Tribolium castaneum: one gene and its partner. The protein of the gene in region 2 interacts with the protein of the main gene of each other region in a biochemical or structural test. Links are inferred from orthologs where the notes say so. Each region holds a gene or a part of one and is shown on either strand. Other genes may lie near its edges.

Region 1 (2,871 bases), on a different chromosome or scaffold from region 2:
GGCTTGGGAAAAATAGGACGTAGTCACTGTTTTGGATTGGAGTGGATTTTTTTTTAAATTCTGGAGTGATATGATGGATTTAGGTTTCATCATACTTAGTATTGATTTGAAAAAGTTTATTTTTATGGCATTTATTCATAGCGGTAGAGGAACAGAACATAGAAAAGTGGTGTAAATAGTTTTGCTAAAATTTTGTTTTAATCAAAAGTTATATTTGAACCCTTAGGTAGTTTTATAATCGAAAATTATTTCCTCATTTTTTTAACACTTTGTTTCAAGCCTAGAGCATTTTTGAGATCATTATTTCTTGTGTTTCACAATGTCGTCTTAATTTCTCTGATTTATTTGATCTTGTTAATTTTAGTTATTGATATTTCTATATTTGCCGACTATCTTTTGTAATTCTATATTTTGAATAGAATTTGAAAAATTTTTTCTTGATTTTTATGTTTTACTGGAAAGTCTGAGGTAAAAAATAAATTGTAATCAGTAATTAACAATTAATAAAATAAATAGCAAACTCAAGTGATTTTTGTTTTGTTTCAGGGTTCCCGCCGTCGCCCAGTCCGCGCCGTCCTCCACGTGAGCGGCGACGGTCTCCGCGTGGTCGAGGACGAGTCGAAAGGTCTGATCGTCGACCAAACGATCGAGAAAGTCTCCTTCTGCGCCCCCGACCGCAACCACGAGCGCGGCTTCAGCTACATCTGCCGCGACGGCACCACCCGGCGCTGGATGTGCCACGGCTTCCTGGCCCTGCGCGAGTCTGGCGAGCGGCTCTCGCACGCCGTGGGCTGCGCCTTCGCCGTGTGCCTGGAGCGCAAGCAGAAGCGGGACAAGGAGTGCGGCGTGACCATGATGTTCGACACCAAGAACGCCACGTTCACGCGCAGCGGCTCCTTCCGGCAGCAGGGGCTCACCGAGCGGCTGGAGCGCGGCGTGGACGTGGGCCCCCCGCGGCCCGCGCCCGTCAACCCCTTCGCCATCGAGCGCCCCCACGCCACGCCCAGCATGCTGCAGCGGCAGGGCAGCTGCCGCGGCTTCAGCACCCTGGGCCAGAACTCGCCCTTCAAGCGCCAGATGTCGCTGCGCGTCAACGAGCTCCCGAGCAACACGGCGCGGCTGAACGCCTACAAGTCGCCCACGTCGCCGACGAACCCCAAGCCCCAGGTGTCCCCCATCCCGGAGATCTCGCCCGGCGACTCCGTCACCGCTCTCTGCCAGCAGCTGAGCCAGGGGCTGAGCCAGCTGACGCACAGCGGCTCCGACGACTTCAACTTCAACAACCAGACCTCGATCAACCAGAACACGGTCAATCTGAGCGTCACAACGATCAACAACAGCTTCAGCCCCAACTTGAGCCAGAGCCAGGTCACGACCAGTATTACTTCGAACGCCAGCAGCTTGCCGAAGCCGGACCAGTGGCTGGGGCAGATCGTCAACTCCACGTCGCCCGTGCCGGCGAAGATGGACGGGGTGTCGCCCCGGCGGGGCCCCCTCCTGGGGGCGCACTCGCGGGCCATGTCGCTGGACTCCTCGGGGGCGTTCCAGCGGACGGCGGACCCGTTCGACGCAGAGTGGGCCGACATCGCGGCTAAAAACAACCCGACTAACCCTTTCCTGTCCTCAGCCGCCCCGCAGCCGTTTCAGATCCAGCTCTAGTTAACTTGTGATTCATTCCAATAAGTTGTTGAGGTATTTGTTGTTTAATGTTGCCAGGACTGACTGTGCAATCTTGTAAATAATGTTGAGAGGATGTGTAAAGACCCGGGGAACGAAGTTTATGCTCAGTTTTTATTTATTTCATTAGGGACGTTAGAAACATTTCGAATTGTAATAACTCACCTGCCAAGCTAAATGCACAAAATTGTCTGTACTTAAGATAGTCTTTCCATAGTTGCAGTTAGACGAGTTATATCATTACAAGGCTGAGAAATGTAGGTACAATACATTCCATTATCACTATTAATTAACGATTGGTGAGTTTGGAGCTAGATTGCCGTCCACCTATAATTTGACCGTTCAATTAATCCAGTTGGACTTTTGTTACTAAGCGCAAGAATTGACTTATTGTTGATTTTTATTTAATTTTCTAGTGTAATATAACTATAATAACGTGCAGCATCGGGAATAGGATCGAATTAATAATGATAAAACTGTATTATTAGAATTATAGGTGATAACGACTTTTTACTTTATGTTTTTGTAAATGTTATAGCGATGCTATTTACTGTTTGTATTTATTACTTTTTCAATATGAGAGCACGCAGCTCTAATATTATGGCACATGTACTTATTATATACACTTGTATTATACAAAAGTCTTAATTATGTTTTTTTCTGTAATATAGTAATAAATAAGTATTATCTGTTACGCGTGTCTTTTTTATTATCTCGACGAACACTAAAGAAGAATAAAGCGATGTTGAAATTATGAGAGGTTGTAAATATTGGATTAACTTTGCAGATAAGTTGGAGTTAATTTTCCGAGAAAGATTTATTTTCTTGTTTGATGTTATTAATGGGGGTTTCAGGCAATTATTTAATTGGAAAAATTTGGTTAGTTATGGCGGAAAACTACAGATTTATTCGATTCAAAGGTGGAACTCTGTAAATCACTTTTAGAACGACTTCCTTAAGGCAATAAATCATTGTAGGAAACGATCAAAGGTGTCGTGCTTGTCGGCTTAAAGTTCTCTACCCATTTATTATTACAATTGTATTTAAAAGAGTTCTTAATAAAGATATTTCTCGTAGTAAAATGCTTTGTTTTCTTTTGCTTTTCGGTAAAAGTGTTATATTTGCGGCGTTGAAGGTTTATTTTTATGTCGATGTTGCGAGCGACGATGAGATGGCGCTAGCTGTACTGGTTTT
Region 2 (4,129 bases):
CATCTATTTATAATTTCTGTTAGACGTTCTGTAGGAACTTTATTATGTTAACATTTATACCATATGGATCAAGTGAATTATTATTTTTAAATTCTTTTTTGGCATCTCTAAATGATTTAAAACATACATGCTGAAAGCTAGAGCTCCTATCTTCAACAGTTTAAGTAGAAATTAATTTCCAAATACTTAACTTCTGGGAAAATGGACCGAAATAGTCTCCTGAGCATCTTTAAATGTCCTTGGGACTTGAACTGTTGAAGATAGATATGGTCTCGCGGACATTTTTTAAAGAAAATTTAATTCTCTACAACTTTCTTAACAGTATTCGCAGCGTTTTGAAAAATGTGGGACAAAGCGCAATTTTACATTTGGAATAATTTGTTTCATATGTTTCTCATGAAGATTTTAGTCGGCAGTTTTTTGCAGCCTGTTAAGAGTGCAAAGCTTTGTATTTTTCCAAGTGATTAATGAATTGGTTGAATTTAAGTTAGTTTAAATCGATATTGGCGTCAAATAACGCTTGAAGCGCCCTCTTTTGTACTCTGGCGTACTATTTTTTTGGGCACAGAAAATCGTTCGTTTCCTAATCTATGGTCCTCTGTAGTTCAAAGTGTCTACAAATTGAATGAATAATTAATTACCCATCATGCCGCCCCACATGTTGGGCCCCAAACTGGACCCGTTTTGGATCGGGATAACATCCTGCGAGCTGGACATGTTCGAATCTGAATCATCGCGAGACTTATCGGTGTCCCTTCGATCCCTATCCCTTCGCTCAATGCGGCGTCTGTCCCTTTTGTCTGAAGGACTTAAACTTGAGTCGTCTTTGTCGTCCACTGAGCGTGCCACTGAAGTCTTATTCTTGTTCATGTTGAATTCCAAAGGAGAGTCGTTTAAACCGGGAGGAAAAATGGAAAAATCGCTGGCATCTGATGGAACGAACCCTGACTGACCTCCGGTGGGCACTATTGCCCCATTTCCTACAAAAAAGGACAAAAGGAATAACACAACGACAATTGCAACGGAATTTACCCAAAGGTTGGTTGTTGAATTGAAAACTCATGGTTACAGTGAGTTTCTAAGGAAAAATAGCAACAAAACAGTTCATTTTTTATCGACCTGCCAAACTTGCCGAGGATTGACGATTGAACTTCCCCGACTGTTCACAAGAACGAATTCGTTAAAAAAAATAGAAAACAATTAATTAGTAGAATTAGGGAGACACCAAAGAGCGTAGTTGGCAAAACTAATTCAGTTTTGGTCATTTTTGTGTTTGCTTATTGGAGTTTAGTATTTGATAAAATTTATTCGGTTGGGGGAACGTTCGGTTGGGGAGTCACATGTTAGTTGTCAATCTAACGTCAGACTTTCTTAAACGTCACTGACACTGTTATGCGGACAATTATTTTAATCAATTAATAAAAATAGTCGATTTGAAGCGGTAGCAAGTGTGAGGTGGGCTGTCGTAACGGTCTGGAGCCAGAAAATTGATGGGGAATCCGCATTCACTCACCAAACTCAATGTGTCATAATTTCCAATTAAGTGTCAATCACGATGAAAAAACTGTTTTCTAAAATCGAAACTAAAATAGATAACACTTCGAAGGAAGGTAACAGTTACATAGGAAAAGTGTTCACAGTCGGCCGCCAAACGGTAACCGTCGAGGATATTCTAGCCGAAGGTAGTAGCATGTTTCAATTCGGGGGGGCGTATAATCCCCATTGCTTGCTTTAGGTGGTTTTGCGATCGTGTATCTGGTAAAGGGCACCAATGGCACGCGCTACGCACTCAAACGAATGTACGTTAATAACGAGCAGGACCTTAACGTTGCCAAACGTGAAATTCAAATCGCTGTAAGTCACTTTAATTCATTCAAATTTTATTACTATTGAGGCACGTAACGGTTTTTAGAGCAGTTTAAGTGGCCATAAAAACATCATTGGTTATGTAGATTCCAGTTTGACGGCCACAGGAGGGGGCGTTTATGAAGTATTGTTGTTGATGCCTTATTGTCAGGAAAACGTTTTCGGTCTTATGAAACAACGTGGCAAAGCGAATTTTACGGAACATGAAGTTCTGACCATTTTCTGTGATACTTGCGAGGCCGTGTCACGATTGCATCACTGCAAAACTCCAATAATTCATCGTGATTTAAAGGTTTTTTGCACTTGATGGCAACACTCTAAATAACTCAGCTTTGGTTACTTGCAGGTAGAAAATATTTTGGTAGGTGAAAATGGTAACTACGTGATATGTGATTTTGGTTCGGCCACTGCGAAAGTATTAAACCCGGCTGATAAGGGGGTTGCTCCCGTTGAAGAAGAGATTAAACGGTACACAACACTGAGTTATAGGGCACCTGAGATGGTCGACATGTATTGTGGCAAACCAATCACGACGAAAGCTGATATTTGGGTAAAAAACACAACATTACAAAGTAATTTGTCTTTAATTTAATCAATTGCAGGCTCTTGGCTGTTTATTGTATAGATTATGCTTTTTTACGTTACCGTTTGGTGAAAGTACTTTAGCTATACAAAGTGGGAACTTTAGCATTCCAGATAATTCGAAATATTCGAAAGGTTTACATCAGCTAATGCGTAAGTTTATCAGTAGTAAATCTCCTCGAAGGACAGGGAACTTAATTAAGGGAACTTACTTAAATTTTGTCAGTCATTCCATTTTATCAGACGAGACACTACACATATTTTTAGATTTTATTTACTGTTTTTATGAACAGTATCAGTAGAAGTCAATTTAAACTGTTTGCAATCTACAATTAGAGCCACATTTGTAAAATTAGAAATAGGAGCAGAAATTAAAACAAATTGACGGACAGGACACAAAAAAGACTTTTTTATTGTTAAACAATCGTAAAATTTTGATAATTTAAAAGCACTAATTCTAACAATTATTTTTGAAGTAAGACTTTTTAAATTTTTAAAACCACGAAGTCGAAGAACAGAGCAATGTGTAACGACTTCTGATTAATTTACTTTTTGTTTACACATAACGGATGGGACAAAAAATCCACTATAATAAATCTTTTGGGTCATAAACATTCCTTCGTCTGCTCGGAAGCATGATGTTTTTTTTTTATAACATCAATTTTTTATTTTTTAATCGTGTAAATTATTAAATGTAAATAATTTACTCAAAATGTATTAATATTGTGTTACATAAATTAAATGAGTAATTATTTAATGTGTTAGCTTAAAAAGCTAAGCTAAGTAAAGTAAGGTTTTACTGTTCTAATTAAATAAAAATAATATATTTTTTTTAATATTTTGAACTCAACAACTAGTTATTTGTTTGTGTGTGTTACCCATTAAAACGGTCGATTTACTGGAGACGAACTAAACTTTCATTGAAACTGCACCAATTTGAATTTAGTTGTCATTTATTATGAATGGACTAATGTTAAATTAATCAGAAATTGAAATTTGATTGTAATTAAATATGTAAACGAATCATATGGGTTTTATTAGTTTTAGTTTGTCAATGTAAAATAAATTAAAGTAAATGAAGTGTGCAATCTCCCGACAGAACTTGTTTGAACGGAAACTAGGAAAAAAGAGTATTCTTAATTAAAAATTTAAATGAAAAGTTTTATCCAAACTCTTTGTGATAAAGAATGACAAAGAAAACTCCAATGATGGCGTTCACAATTAATTACGTTAGTGCTAATGCGTTTACAAAAAAAGACACCTTAGGAAGTTATAACAGTTTTAACGACGTTTATTCTTTTTATTCATTTATTTTGTTATAGTCACTTAATGATCAATTCACTTTTACAAATCATTACCTTCTTACTTTAAAATTAGCGCAGAATATTTTTTATAATGTAAGTATTAAATAATTAAAATTTTATTTTACCTTAAAAAAATGAAACATCAAATTATTCTTTACTCTCTTTACGCGATATAGTCATTTTTGATTAATTGAGGAGGTTTACAATTGCAATCAAATTTTTATTTCACTAATTTGACTTTTGTCAATGCAAAGTAAAAGATAACTTACTTTGATTTAATTTAACGACGTTTACGACCTAAAAGATTTATTGCTGTGGTTTGCACTCAGCCTCGTACTACCCGGGCCGGTTTATAGGGGTCACATTCTTTATGATCG

What was found.
Region 1: the proteins of Nak (region 2) and numb form a complex in vitro, tested with the Drosophila melanogaster proteins (3 studies listed by BioGRID). The link is inferred for Tribolium castaneum from reciprocal best matches to the Drosophila melanogaster genes Nak and numb.

Annotation. Positions count from the first base shown.
Region 1 is NC_087395.1:16,786,076-16,788,946, reverse strand, and holds the end of numb (protein numb), read left to right. Parts: intron 1-546; coding exon 547-1,659; 3' UTR 1,660-2,371; downstream 2,372-2,871.
Region 2 is NC_087394.1:25,678,793-25,682,921, forward strand, and holds the start of Nak (serine/threonine-protein kinase sel-5), read left to right. Parts: upstream 1-1,329; 5' UTR 1,330-1,555; coding exon 1,556-1,682; intron 1,683-1,735; coding exon 1,736-1,854; intron 1,855-1,912; coding exon 1,913-2,158; intron 2,159-2,212; coding exon 2,213-2,416; intron 2,417-2,468; coding exon 2,469-2,601; intron 2,602-4,129. Other genes in the region: ecto-NOX disulfide-thiol exchanger 2, read right to left, coding at 642-980, 1,033-1,063.